2 linked regions of the Oryctolagus cuniculus genome follow. The protein of the gene in region 1 binds, or shares a complex with, the protein of each later gene. Links are inferred from orthologs where the notes say so. Each region holds a gene or a part of one and is shown in the gene's direction. Other genes may lie near its edges.

Evidence for each region.
Region 2: SURF1 (region 1) and CMC1 share a complex: the UniProt entries of both Homo sapiens proteins name them as parts of the MITRAC (mitochondrial translation regulation assembly intermediate of cytochrome c oxidase complex) complex. The link is inferred for Oryctolagus cuniculus from reciprocal best matches to the Homo sapiens genes SURF1 and CMC1.

Annotation. Positions count from the first base shown.
Region 1 is NC_091432.1:235,373,855-235,380,990, reverse strand, and holds SURF1 (surfeit locus protein 1), read left to right. Parts: upstream 1-2,651; 5' UTR 2,652-2,664; coding exon 2,665-2,739; intron 2,740-2,823; coding exon 2,824-2,875; intron 2,876-3,353; coding exon 3,354-3,487; exon of another isoform or gene 3,488-3,522; intron 3,523-3,596; coding exon 3,597-3,679; intron 3,680-3,925; coding exon 3,926-4,117; intron 4,118-4,412; coding exon 4,413-4,485; intron 4,486-4,578; coding exon 4,579-4,741; intron 4,742-4,817; coding exon 4,818-4,899; intron 4,900-4,973; coding exon 4,974-5,043; 3' UTR 5,044-5,097; downstream 5,098-7,136. Other genes in the region: SURF2 (surfeit locus protein 2), read right to left, coding at 1-59, 276-427, 509-688, 1,943-2,046, 2,252-2,406, 2,495-2,572; RPL7A (large ribosomal subunit protein eL8), read right to left, coding at 5,211-5,315, 5,389-5,458, 5,650-5,780, 5,962-6,041, 6,176-6,316, 6,409-6,558, 6,776-6,896. UniProt on the Homo sapiens protein: Component of the MITRAC (mitochondrial translation regulation assembly intermediate of cytochrome c oxidase complex) complex, that regulates cytochrome c oxidase assembly.
Region 2 is NC_091435.1:164,607,337-164,614,586, forward strand, and holds the start of CMC1 (COX assembly mitochondrial protein homolog), read left to right. Parts: upstream 1-3,469; 5' UTR 3,470-3,729; coding exon 3,730-3,748; intron 3,749-4,913; exon of another isoform or gene 4,914-5,096; intron 5,097-7,250. UniProt on the Homo sapiens protein: Component of the MITRAC (mitochondrial translation regulation assembly intermediate of cytochrome c oxidase complex) complex, that regulates cytochrome c oxidase assembly.

The DNA of each region.
Region 1 (7,136 bases):
AAGCGCTTCGGCTTGCCGCGGGGACGCCCGGTCGTCTTCCTTAGGGAGCCCAGCTGCCTCTGTAGCGCAAGCAGAGAGGGGGTTACCGCCGCTCCCCACGGCCAGCTCGCAGGCAGCTCGACTCCACAGGGAGACCCCCGCCCCAGCCGCCGTGGTCCCAAGGTGGACGCCAAGGGGCAGGCCTGGCCCAATGCCCGCTCCCACGGAGCAGCCGCGGCCGTGGCGCTGGGGACATCTCGGGGTCGGCTGGCCTCTGGAGAACCCGCAGAGCTCACCTTCCGGTGCTGCGGCGCCGGCTTCTGGGCCGCGCCCGGCTCCTCCCCGTCTCCCGGGCGCCCCGGCCTCGCGTCCTCTTCATCTGTCAGGACGCCATCGGCACCGTCCCCGCTCTCGGTCGCTCCCGGGGCCTTCCTGGTGAACAGCTCGGCTGCAAGCAGACGTCCGGCTGTGGTTCACCCAGTGCTGCGCGGGGAGCAGCCGCCAGGACGGGAGGGTCAGGGACACTCACGCGGGTACAGGTCTGTCATGCTGTCGTCACTCGCGGCGCCCTCCTCGTCCCCGGACGCGGGCTCCCAGAAGGCGTGCTGAGGGGCAGGCGGCCCGTCGCCGTGCAGCTGGTCCCTGCGCCGTCGCCGCTGCAGCAGGCAGGCGGGGACATACTCCTCGCCTCGCTCCTGGCACTCTGCATCTGGGAGACACGGCCGTGCACCGCTACCCTCCCGCCCCCCGCCTGCGTGCGTGCGCCAGGCTGGACGGCCGTGAGCAGGCGGGGCCCAGCGAGGCTCAGTGCCGGCCAGGCCGGGGGCTCACTGCAGCTGGCCGCAGGGTCCTTGCTGAGCCCACTGTCCCCGCCTTCTCTGAGAGCTGGGCTGTCGGCACTCACCCTGCCGTCACACGCCGCTCGCTCCCAGGATGGGGCCCACCACCTCCCACTGTCCCCATGGCCCCTGCCTCCTGGCCTCTGATGTGGCCGCCCACTCCCATCACTACAGGAACCCACACAGGTGTCTCCACCGTGCCCAGCCCCGAGGCCGCCCTCACGGAGCCTCGCTGCTTCCCGGCCAGCTCCGCAATCCATCACCAAAACCGCGGCCTCACAGGAGACATCCCCCGGCCCTGCCCACAGCCAGCTCTCCTGGCTCGGATCCCTGCCAGGCCAGGGGTCTGGCCCGCGCCAGCAGCCTCAGGCCCCTGTCCTCATCTTCCCGCCCCAAACCCGAGTCTGCGCCCACCCGGGGCAGGAGGGCACAGCCACACCCCCCGTAACTCCCAGCCCCGAGTGGGGGGGGGCCGCACCCCCTTCCTGCGGCTTCCACGCCGTGAAGCCTCGTGGCCACCGCGCTGTCCCCTCTGGGCCCTCCCAGGTGCCTCACCCAAGAGCCGCCCTTCCTCACCCACTTTAACACATTCAAGGCAAACCCCAATTCACCACTTCCTGTCTCCGGCAGGAAACCAGACATTCACACTTGGGGCCGAAGCCGCCGCCTGCAGTGCCCGCATCCCATGTGGGCGCCGGTTCGAGTCCCGGCTGCTCCACTCTCTGCTGTGGCCTGGGAAAGCAGTGGGGGACGGCCCAAGTCCCTGGGCCCCTGCGCCCGCGTGGGAGACCCGGAGGAGGCTCCTGGCCTGCCCAGCGCTGGCCATTGTGGCCATCTAGGGAGTGAACCAGCAGATGAAGACCTCTCTCCTGCTGCCCTGTAACCCCCACTCCCAGAACACGGCTCTAAGCGCGAGCTGACGCCGTGTGCAGCTCTCCCCCAGCCCCAGCCCCTCGTCCTGGGCGCCCCCACCCCATCCTCAGACCGTCAAGGCCCCCTCCTCCTCTGCCTGCCGGGTGCGCTGTCCCCTCCGGCCTCCCAGAGCCCCCGGGAGCCCTCCCGAAGCTCACGCCGACCGGGTCTGGGGTCGGGCCGTCCTCCCGCCCGGGCGCGGGGCGACTTACACCGGCGCAGGGCTCGCTGGAAGCGGCGGCCGCGGGTGTGCCTCAGCACGTGCTCGGGGCACCTGTTGAGGTGCCGCAGGGTGAGCTTGCAGAACAGCTGGCGCCTGCGGGGCGGGGCAGGGGGCGGTCAGCGCCGACCAGCAGCCCGGGCGCAGACCCGCCGACCCAGGCGGGCCAGCGGAAGCCGGGCCCGGGCCTTCGCCACCACCCGCTCCCCTCCGGCCCACTCACAGAAACAGCCGCGACCCCCACCCTGTGCCGCCCCGCGCTCAGGCAGGGCGCTCCCGTCCCGGCCCCGGGGCCACCCACGGGCTCTTGGTGCTGGGCACGATGTGAGGCTCGAACTCGGCGTAGTCGAAGGCGGGGGAGGCGCGCGCCAGCCGCTGGTACTTCCTGCCGCGGGTGTAGACCTGCAGCTCGGGCAGCCGGCAGGGCAGCTCGTGGCCGGTCAGCGCGCACTTCACCTGCGGCGGGACGGCCAGAGGTCGGCGCCCTGCGCCCCCGCCGCGCCCGCGCCCGTGCCCGCGCCCCGGCCCTCCCCGCCTCCCGGACCTTGCGGGCGCCGGGCAGCAGCCGCAGGCTCGGGTGCTCGCACAGGAACGCCCGCACCTCGGCCGGCAGCGCGTCCATCGCAGGCGCGCGCCGCGTGCGGGGGGCGGGCCGCGGGCCGACCCGGAAGCAGTTGCCCTCCGCCCCGGAAGCTCCCGCAGGCCGCCGGTGCGATGGCGGCGGCGAGTCGGCTGGGGCTGCGCGCGGTGGGCCTGGGGCCGCTGCTGCGCGCGGCGTGCGCGGGGCGGGTGAGCGCGGGGCGCCGGGGCCGGGCGGGGCGAGGGAGGGTGGGAGCGGCCCCGGGGCTCAGCCGCCGCCCCCCGTCCCCGCAGGCCCCCGCCACCGCCTACTGGAGGAGCGCCCCGGGGGTCCTGCCGTGCCCAGGTGAGGGGGACTCGGCGCGGCCCCGAGGGGGTGTCGTGGGAACCCGGCTGGACGGTGTCGCTGCTGGCCGAAGCGGGAAGCCGGCGCCGTGCGTTTGTGAGCTCAGCGGCTGCAATCGCCGCAGCGCGCACGGAGCCCGGCGACCCCAGGCCCGCCGTCGGGACCACCCACCACCCCCGCGCGTGCCCTCTGGGTACCACCGCCCCGGGTGCACACGGAGCCCGCGGCCCGGCCAAGCCACTTGGCGAGTGCGTGCGTGAAGGCCTGCATTTCTGGGTGCAAGGCTTGGGGCGGCTCCGGGAGCTACCCAGGGCCATGGCACCGGCCACCAAACGCGCCCCGGGTGTGTGCGTGGGCCGGGCGCGGGTGCTGCCTGCTGGACCCCCACAGGTTAGGGCTGTTGAGGTCTGCGCCCCGCTGTCCCTGGCAGCGTCGCTGGCCTGAGTTAGCGCCCCGGTTCTGTCTGACCCCGCGGCAGGGGCGGCCGGGAGGCCGAGCAGGTGCGGCAGCTCCGCGGCGGACGCGCCGGCCTCCAAAGCAGAGGACGACCGCCTCCTGCAGTGGCTGCTGCTGCTCATCCCCGTGACTGCCTTCGGCCTGGGGACGTGGCAGGTGAGGAGGGGTCCTTCGGCCTGGGGACGTGGCAGGTGAGGAGGGCCCGGCGGGACGGCTCCGGGCCGCACGACCGTGGTCTGGGGCTCAGGCCGGGTGTCCTCGGCAGGTCCGGCGCCGCCAGTGGAAGCTGAAACTGATCGAGGAGCTGGAGTCCAGAGTGATGGCCGAGCCCATCCCGCTGCCGGCCGAGTGAGTGTGGCCGCCCCCTGCTGGGCTGGTCGTGGACAGGACTGCCCGGCACCGGCTCCTCTCCGTGCGCAGTGATTGGGGGTGGGGGGGTGGGTCGTTGTCATTGGAGAGCGCGCCCGCGTGGTTACACATCAGCACGCAGCGTGCGTCCATCAGCTGTGCAGGACGCTGGCCTGGGCTGCAGACCCACACTCCCGGGCCGCCCGGGCTGCTCTGTGCCAGCCTGCACCCCCTGTCTCCGTGTAGTCCCATGGAACTGAGAGGCCTGGAGTACAGGCCAGTGAAGGTCAGGGGCCACTTTGACCACTCCAAGGAACTGTACATGATGCCGCGGACCATGGTGGACCCTGCCCGCGAGGCCCGGGAGGCCGGCCGGATCTCCTCCTCCACCGAGAGCGGGGCCTACGTGGTCACCCCTTTCCACTGCACGGACCTGGGGTGAGCAGTGGGCAGGTGCACACGGGATTCCCTGCCTCCTTCCCCGCCCCCGCCGTGCAGGTCGATGGCCCCCACCAGCTAAGCAACCCTGGTTTACACTGCCTGGAGCTCCCTGAAGGGGGAGGGTGCGTGGCAGCCCCAGCTGTGCCTGCAGGGGGGCAGGCGGAAGTGAAGGGGGCTCCGGCCACCCCAGGCCCTGGTGACGGCTGGGGACGCCTAGCTGGCCACCCAGTCTGTCTAGGCTGGACACCTTCACCCGGATCTTCCTCAAGGACCCTTCCCCGCCCACCTCTAGGGTCACCATCCTGGTGAACAGGGGATTCGTCCCCCGGAGGAGGCTGAACCCGGACACCCGGCAGAAAGGCCAAGTAAGCGGCCACAGCTCTGGCCCTGCCCTCCCCCGGTCTCCTCGGTCGTCCCGGCCCTGGCCTGCTGCCCACTCGGCTCTTGCTGCCCTGCAGGTGGAGGGCGAGGTCGACCTGGTGGGGATGGTGAGGCTGACGGAGACCAGGAAGCCCTTCGTCCCTGAGAACAACCCCGAGAGGAACCACTGGCACTACCGGGACCTGGAGGCCATGGCCAGGGCCGCGGGCTCGGAGCCCGTGTTCATTGACGCGGACTTCAGTAGGTTGAGGCCACCCAGCCCGGGTCTGCCCACGTGGGGGGGGGGTGCAGGGCAGCAGCGTGCCTGTTCCTGCAGAGAGCACCATCCCTGGGGGGCCCATCGGCGGGCAGACCCGAGTCACCCTGCGGAACGAGCACCTGCAGTACATCGTGACCTGGTGAGCGCCCCCTGCCCAGCCCCGCCCTGCCCCAGCCGCCAGAGGCCTGGCTGACCACTCGTGTCGCACTGCAGGTACGGGCTGTGTGCGGCCACCGCGTACCTGTGGGTGAAGAAGTTCCTGCACCGAGCGCCTGGCGTGTAGCAGCCCTGCCCCCACACCCCCCCCCCCCCGAATAAAGCCGCCGTGTGAACCAAGGCCCTGACCTGAGCCCTGCGTGTGTGTGTGTGTGTGTGTGTGTGCCCGCGCGTCACTGAGTCAGGGACACGGGCTGGGACAAACCAGCTTTATTATGTACAAGCAGCCCGCGGTCACCCCAGCTTCGTGGCCAGCTCCTTGGCCTTGGCCTTCTCCAGCTTGGCGATGCGAGCCACGGACTTGGGCCCCAGGACGTTGCCTCCCCAGTGGCGGCGGATCTGCAAGGACAGGGGCGGTCAGCCTGGCCGGCCGCGCGGCTGGACAGGGAGGGGCGGGCGCTGCGGCGCTCACCTCGTCGTATCTGTCGTTGTAGTTGGTCCTGATGGCCTCCACCAGCTTCGCCAGGGCCCCTTTGTCCTCCCTGACACACGGGGGGGGGGGGGGGGGGGACACGTGGTTGGTTTTCACTCGCGGGCACAGGGCGGCCTCTGCCTGGGCGCGGGCGCCTCAGACGTCACTGACCACACGGCTGGTTCAGGTGAAGAAATTCTCGACCATCACTGGCGGGGGCAGGGCTGGGGGGAGGGGGCCTGGGGGGACGCGGGCACTTACGAGTTCACCTGCGTGAAGGCCACGGTGGTGCAGGTCTTCCGGTGCACCAGCCGGCCGAGCCGGGCCTTGCCCTTCAGGATGCAGTAGGGGACCCCCATCTTGCGGCACAGGGCGGGCAGGAAGACCACCAGCTGCGAGGGGGAGGCGCGGCTGAGCGGGGCCCCCCCGCGGACCCCCGCCCCGGGCCGCCGGCCGCAGCTGCTCAGGGTTAAAAAGCTCGTGTGTGCGCTTCAGAGCTGCGCTCAGCGCGGACGTGTCGTCATCGCAGCCGCGCGGGGCCCTCCCCGCAGCCGCGCCCCTGCCCGCACCCACCTCGATGGGGTCCACGTCGTGCGCGATCACCACCAGCTGCGCCTTCTTGTTCTCCACCAGGGTCGTGACGGTGTTCACGCCTGGAGCCCGAGCACGCGCGGGCGTGAGCGCGCAGCGTGGGCCCGGCCCCGCTCTCCTGCCCCCTGTCCAGCTCCGGCCCCGCCCCCGCCCCGCAGCACCGGCGGCCGCTGGGTGGGCCCGGCCCCCCGCTCACCCGCCCGCAGCACCGGCGGCCGCTTGGTGGGCACGTCCCCCTTGCCGGCCGCCTTCTTCTCGGCGCGCGCCAGCAGCCGCTGCTTCTTCTCCTGCTTGGTCTCGGGCCGGTACTTGTGGGCCAGCTTCAGCAGCTGCGTGGCTGCGGGGACGCGGGGTTCAGCCTCGCCGCCCGCCGCCCCCCGCCCCGGCCCCGCGGGAGCGCCCCGCCCCGCCGCGCCCCCCGCCCCGCACCCGTCTGGCGGTCCAGCGCCTGCGTGAACTGGTTGATGGCGGGCGGCACCTTCAGCCGCTTGTACAGGATGGCCCGCTGCCGCTGCAGCCGGATGTAGCGCGGCCACTTGACGAAGCGCGTGAGGTCCCGCTTGGGCTGGATGTCCTGTCCTGGGGGGGCAGCGCCGTGAGCCCGGCCCGGCCCGGCCCGGCCCGCCCCCGCCCGCGCCCCGCGCCCGCCCCGGCCGGCCGGCGCATCAGCGATCTTGGTGGTGTGGACGTCGTCAGCGCGCTCGGATAGCAAATATTCCGTCACATCATCTGCGCCGGCCCCGGCCCGCCCGCCCGCCCGCCCGCGCGCCCGCCCGGCCCGCACGGCCCCGCGCACCGATGCCGAAGTTCTTGGGCCGCTTCTCGAACAGCGGGTTCACCACCTTCTTGGCCTCCTGCTTCTTGACCACGGCAGGGGCCGGGGCCACCTTCTTCCCCTTGGCCTTCTTCCCCTTCGGCTGCCGCGGGCGAGAGAGACCGAGGCCGTTACAGCCGCCCCCGCCTCGGCCCGTCCCCTCTGGGGTCCGCACTGCGGCGAAGCGCTCCCCGGTCCTCCTCCCCGACCCGGCAGCCGCAGGGCCGGCGCACCCCGCTCCGCGGCCCCCGTGCCGGACACGGCAGGCCTCCCCTAGCCCCCGGCGGCGCGGGGGAGCCGCCCGCACGCGCCCGGCAGAGGATGGCTGCGGATGGAGCCCGGA
Region 2 (7,250 bases), on another chromosome or scaffold:
TCATGTTGTTTTCTTGTTAGTGAATTGAGGCACTTGTATATTTTGGATATTAATTCCTTATCAGGTTGTGGTTTGTGAATATATTCTCTAATCCCATAAGTTGTCTGTTACTTACAGATTGTATATTAAAAACTAATCATGTTTACTGTTATGGATGAAATGATTAGAGAGAATGGGTGAGAGGAGAAAATGCGTAGGAACAGAGAGCCAGTGAGGAGGCTGTTGTAATTATTTCTACAAAAATGGAAAGATCATGGACTAAGGACAGTGTGGTTGGCAGGTGAAATAAACATCCATTAAAGAGGAGGAAAATGTGCATATTCTGATTGGTCAGACATGGAGAATGAGGAAAAGACAGGGGTTTGTTGAGGTGGATTGTTGAGTCTGAAGCAGATCTTAGGCAACCATAAGTAAAACAGAGACAAAATATATTGCTCTGGGGGAAATGAAAGCAGGATGCCAGGGCTCTCGTCAAGTGATTTGGGGATTCAGGGAAGAGAAGCTGAGTGTTGTCATGGGCTTAATATGCCCTGCAAAATGCTTGTGTTGAAGTCCCAACCTCTAAACCCTTAAGTTGTGACTGTATTTGGAGAGACGATCTTAAATGAGATAGTTTTCATTAAAACGAGGTTATTAGTTTGCTCATTGGGGTGGGCCCCAATCCCAAATACCTGGTGTTCTTACCTAAAAAGATCAGGACACTTATACAGAGTGAAGGCACAGAAGGGGCTGGCACAGGGCTGAAGCCGTTGCCTCTGATGCCGCATCCCATACAGGTGCTATTTCAAGTCCCAATTGCTTCAATGCCAATCTGACTCCCTACTAATGGCCTGAGAAAGCAGTGGAGGATGAACCTAGTGTTTGGGTCCCTGTCACCCTCAAGGGAGACAGGAATGAAGCTCCTGGCTTCGTCCTGGTCCATCACTGGCAGTGGTGGCCATGTAGGGAGTAAAACAGCAGATGGAAGACCTCTCTCTGTGTGTAACTCTGACTTTAAAGATAAACAACAAATAAATCTTAAAGCAAAAATGCACACACAGGGAAATGCAAGTCGAGGAGAGAAGCCTCAGAAGAAACCGATCCTGCTGAGACCTGGATCTCAGATTGTGGGAAAGTAAGTTTCTGTCGTGTAAGCCATCCAGACTGGGAGACTTCTTCATGGTGACCTCCACAGAGTTGAGTCCATTCAAGTCAGAGAAGGCACAGGCTGTGGGGACTGGGTGCTAAATTATGTTGCCCAGAAAACAGGGCCACCAGGGACTCATGGTTACTGTTCTTCCAGGCTGGTAGGGATGGAGCTTCTAATAGTCTTGCAAATTTGATTCTCAGTGGCTCAAAGAGAGGGCTGCGCAGATTTACACGTGGAAAGCCTTTACTTCAGAACTGGGCAGTTAGAAGCAAGCAGGGGCTGGCTCACCACTTCAATTTCAAAAAATAAGCATACTGCATCAGTCAAGACTGAGCTGACAACCAATTAAGATGATGGTTTCTGCTTGAACATGCCTCCATATTAGATTAAGCAAAATACAGAGGGCTGGCGTTGTGGCACAGTAGGCTAAGCCTCCGCCTGCGGTGCCAGCATCCCATATGGGAGCCAGTTCGAGTCCCGGCAGCTCCTCTTCCAATCCAGCTCTGCTATGGTCCAAGTGCTTGGGCCCCTGCACCTGCGTGGGAGACCTGAAGAAGCTCCTAGCCTCAGATCTGCTCAACTCCAGCCTTTGCAGCCATCTGGGGAGTAAGCCAGCAGATGGAAGCCCTCTCTCTGTCTCTCCCTCTGTGTGTAATTCTACCTCTCAAATCTCAAATAAAATCCTTTTTTTTAAAGAAAAATATAGGGAGACACACATTCTCTCTCTCTCTCTCTCTCTCTCTCTCTCTCTCGTGTGTGTGTACTTTGAATGTCCACTCTACATTCTGAGCACTTCTTTTTGCCTCCACAGGCTGTAAGCATGGTTCAACCTTTGCCACTCTCCCCAGGTAACTGCATTTTCTTCCTCATTGCTGTCTGTCTCGGTATTGCCCCATAATGAGCCACAAGGGCAGCTCATTCTAGACATGAATGGGCACACTGCCATGATGTTCTCATTTGTATGAGGAAAGGAATCACCTAGAAATCCTCTGAACGGCCTGCGCTAGTCTCCCAAGCCCCATCAGGACGCACAGATTCCTCTTTGCAATTACTCTCTCACCTACCCCTTTGTTTTACATTTCCACACATGCCAGCTCAGCCATTTTTCAGCTCCTGCCCAGACTAACGCAGTCGTGCCCCTGAGTGACTGCCTGCAGACCTCTTGGCTCTCTCCTCTCCACCTGCACCCATCCTGCACCATACTTTCATAAAACAGCCTTATAAAACTTTTACCAAATCCTGTCTTTCAGCTCGATCAGCCGGGTCTTTACACCCCACCTCTTCCTCAAGAAGGTTCGTCTTTGCCTTCCGAATTGGGTCTAAGCACATTTACACAGCATGCAAGAAAAGGACCCGATGTCCTGCCTGGCTGTAGGAAGCGCTAATTCTTCACCTTGGCACCTCAAGCTGCAGCTGTAATCGGGGCCCTAATGCCCAGCTAGGCCCTTAAACGGAAGACCTGCTGAGCCGAGACCCACTTTCCCAGCCCGGCTCCAGGGCTCCGCTCTTCTGCCAACTGACCAGGCGGAAGCAGCAGCAGGGGAGGAGGGACCGCAGGTAGGAGGGGAGGGGATCGTTTTGAAAGCCCTGAATCCCTTGCAGGGAAGAGGCAGCTGCTCCTTGTTTTTCTAAACATCTGTCCCATCTGCCCCCAGCCGCAGGAGCCTCGAGCAGGTTCAAGGTGGACTGGAGAGGCAGGCGCCCCGCGAAGGTTGCGTGGGAGCCGGGGCAGCTGAGCCTGCGTGGCCGCCGCCCCCGCCCCACTCCCGAAAATTCCTTCTGTGAAGAGCGGTAGGGGGAGTCTAGGGAGGACAGGCCGAATGCACGGAGTCGGTTTGAAACGATCCCCCGCCCCCAAAATGCTATGTCACAAAACCGAGGGACCCCTAGCTCTTATTATCGAGCGCCCCAGGCCGCGGATGTGGGGGAGAAACCGTGACAGCACGCTACCTCCGCATTTCACAGCGCTCCCCTGCAGGCACTGCCCCCCACCCCCACCCCCGGAGAAGGACCCTGTTTTTATTGTTATTTCCCCCTAGGACGCAGAACCCCGTCTGCAGCCTGGCTGGCGTGCAGTTTATGAATGAATGAAAAAACGAGATGATTCAGCCGGTTCGCAGATACAGCGTGGGAGGCTCGGGCTTAGAAAGCGGTGGCCAAAGGGAGCGCTGTCAGCAAACCCCCTAAACCCAGCTCCAGCCCACGCGGCTATCCCCGGGTGCTCGCTCAGGCCAAACGGAGGCTGCGCGCGCCCCGAAGCGCCCGCCCCCACGGCGCACGCGCAGCCACGCCCCCTCCCCGGGTCGCTCCCGCGGGGAGTCGGCTTCCACCCTAGTTACCGGGTTGTGGGCGGGGCCAAGGCGGCGCAGGCGTAACGGGCAGCGGAAGTAGGAAGTAGCGGACGCGATAAAAGGGCTCGTGGGGTCCTCGCTAAGGGCATTGCGCTCCTCCCCCGCTGCGTGTGTCGCCCCTCCTCTCTCCATCCTGGGGCTCCGGTCGCGGGACCCTCCGGGCGGCCGCACGTGTTGTCAGGCGCGGGCTCCTCCCCTCTCCGCCCCCTTCCCCGGAGCCTCGGCGCCGCGCGTTCCCTGCCCGCCGCGATGGCGCTCGACCCCGCAGGTACGGGGGTTGATGCGTGGTTTGCAGCGGGACGCCGGGCTGGTGCCGCGGGCGTCCGGGCTGGGCAAGGTCCGATCTGAGGTCGCGCCGCTTTCGCACACTGCCTTCACCGCCGGCTCCTGCCGTGGGGTTCGCAGCCGGCCCTGGTTGCTTCTCTCGGGCGAGGTTAGGGTTAGGTGAGGGGCTCTGGGTTTTGTTGTTGGAACTGTGGTCCGTTTGCGGCAAACAGACTTTTCCCTCCTCGGCTCAGACGGCTTTCTTCGTCGTCATTTTCGCTCCTTAGGGCCCAGACTAGACATTGGATGGTGTAGGCACCTTTGACCCAGCAACATTTCGTACTGGAGCCGGAGCTCGAGTTCACGTTGTCTTTGGGAATTCCCGGACCCCCGGCTCGTCCTCAGACACGGCGGTTCGAGGGTCCATTCCTGTGGCGAGTCGTCTCTCGGGGAAGGGGTCCCCAGGCTCTGAAATGTTCTGACTGTCGTGATTCCTCCTGCTTGCCTTTGCTGCAGAGTTCTGTTACTCTAAGGCGCCTCCTCGCAGAACCACACCTGCGTCTTGGGCGTTGAGGCAGTTTATGCAAGGGTGTAGATACAGAAGCCTCCTGGGGGGACGGTGATTGATCTGCCCACTCCTTTTTGTTGTTGTTGTTGTTGCTGTTAAAGATTTATTTTACTTATTTGAAATAATTACAGAGGGAGCTAGAGACAGAGGTCTCCCATCTGCTGGTTCACTCCCCCAGTGGCCGCAAACGCCAGAGCTGAGCCCATCAGGAGCCAGGAGCTTCTTCCCGGTCTCCCATGCGGGTGCAGGGGTCCAAGCACTCGGGCCGTCTTCCACTGCTTTCCTAGGAGCATTAGTAGGGAGCTGGATCAGAAGTTGAGCAGCCGGGACTGGAACCTGTGCCCTTATGAGATGCCAGCACTGCATGCTGGGCCTTTAACCTGAGCCCCGCCACCCCCCTTTCCCAATTCCTTTCATTTTATAAATACAAAGCCTCAAGGTGTTGGATGGTGATATGGCTCCAAACCATTTGGAGATTCCGAAGTGGAAAAGACACTTTTGGGACCCCCAGAGGACAAAATACACGCATAGTGTTCATTGAACCACTTTTTAAAATCAAGCTAAGTAGTCTCAATGACCTTTGATTTCTTTTACATATGAGGAAACGGAGGCACAGAGGTTAATGGTAGTGGTGGAGTTGGTAGAAGTGCAAAGGAATTCCACAGTGCATAATGATCAGACCAGTTTGTGGTTCAGCGATTGGGTCAGAATTCATGGAGCAATGAAACGGCGGATCTGGGCTTTGAAGAGTAGGATTTCCAGAGGTTGGAGTATCCTGTGTCAGGTATGTAGATACGCTGATGAAAAACCAACATAGGACTCATGAGTGACTATTTTTTCAATGGTTTATACTTGTTACTGCACATAATTTTTTTAAAAGATTTATTTATTTGAAAGTCAGACTTAACACAGAGAGAAGAGGCAGAGAGAGAGGTCTTCCATCTGATGATTCACTCTCCAGTTGGCCGCAAAGGCTGGAGCTGTGCAGATCTGAAGCCAGGAGCTTCTTCCAGATCTCCCATGCAGGTGCAGGGGCCCAAGCACTTGGGCCATCTTCTGCTGCTTTCCCAGGCCATAGCAGAGAGCTGGATTGGCAGTGGAGCAGCCGGGTCTCAAACTAGTGCCCATATGGGATGTGGGCGCTTCAGGCCAGGGCGTTAACCCACTACACCACAGCGCTGGCCCCGACCTAATTATTTTTGTTTTCAAACTATTTACAATTTGGCCAGCGAATTTCTTTATCTAGCTTCTGGAGCTTTGGGGGTAGTTTCCCATTTTGGGGAGCATTTTTTCTTTCTTCACATAGGATGTCACTGGCTTGCCACTTGGCCCGTTTTCTGAGACGTCCTGGTTCTTTTTATTTTGGTGTACTATTGCAGAACAATATCTGGTCACTCCGTGTGGGTTCCTCTTTTGTGTTTTACATTTGAGTGATTCATTAATGGAGTGCCCTTAGGGGGAAAAGCAAGGGAGTAAGGCGAACAGGAGAGTGAAGGGTTAGGATGTGGTTTCAGGGAAGGCTGTTGCATTAGTCAGCTTTTTGTTCACTACAACTACTTATCAAAGGTGAGCTACCTGTGAAGGAAGGCTTATTGTAGGGCCTCACAGTTTTGAAGGTTCACAGTCTAAAATAGGGCAAGTCCCTCTGGTTCAGCTAACTGGTGAGGCTGGGAGAGGGTTAGTGGAGTGCGAGGGGAGGAACAATCATGTGGTGATCCAGGGGGCAGAGGGAGACTGAGCCAAGCTCAGCTTTTATAAAGACCCTCCTGAGAGGGCTGTCTTTTGAGGCATGACCCGGATACCTCACATAGGTGACAGAATCCCAAGGACTTGAGCTGTGATACTTGTTGCCTTCCAGAGTGCAATTAGCAGGAAACTGGATTGGAAGTGGAGCTAGGATTCTAACCCAGGCACTCTAATGTGGAATGCAGGTGTCCAAAGATGTGGCTTAACAAGGTAGCTACCCAGGAGCCAAGTCTTACTCAAAATGTAGCAGCTGGTCTTAGCTAGTTAGTTCTGGTGCACCCACAAAGTACAAAGTCTGTCCTGTCTCATGGGCAACGGAGCTGAGCTTTATGCCCTCTGTCAGCCGCTGGTTACCTGTAGGAGCTGGAAGCAGGGGAAACTGTAAAAGATTACCATTGCCCAAGGGCAGTCCTGAGAAGGTTGCAGATGTGAGTGCTCCAGCATTCCCTGTCACAGGAAGATCAGCTTGATCCAAAAAACAAGTTGTCTGACTCTACTGGGAACCTTAGTTTGCACAGTGAGTTCAGGTAGTGTTGAGTCAGATAGGAAAGGGTCCTTGCACACATGTATGCACATACACAGGCGTGTGTCCCATCTCCGTTAAATTATTGAGAGGTTATGGTCAGAACATTTGAATAACATTGGTTTAAGATATACCTACAATAACCCTATCAGTGCGTTTTTTTTTTTAATACTAAGCACATGCTATTCCTTTTCTCTAAACTTTCCCTCTCTCCCTCATCCCCAAATCTAATGCTTGCTCATTTTTTACAATTCATTTTAAAGTCAGTTTCTTAGGAGACTTTCCCTAATTATAACCATCCTCAAGTCTTCAAAAAAATTTTAATATTTAAGATTTTAAAAACTCACCAAAATATCATACAATCTGTTTATATTGTTTCTTTTATTCTAGACCTAAGTTTTTTTCCTTGAAAAATACACAGTGGGTTAAGCCAGCACTTGGGATGCCTGCATCCCATATTGAAATGATGATTTTTGTCCTGGTTGCTCCACTTCCCATTCAGCTCTCTACCTGAGAAGCAGTGGATGATGGTTTAGATCCTTGGGTCCCTGCCACCCACAAGGGAGACCTGCATGGAATTCTTGGCTCCTGGCTTCAGCCTAGTACAGCCCCAGCTGTTGTGACCATTTGAGGGAGTGAACGGTCACATGGAAGATAAATCCCTCTGTC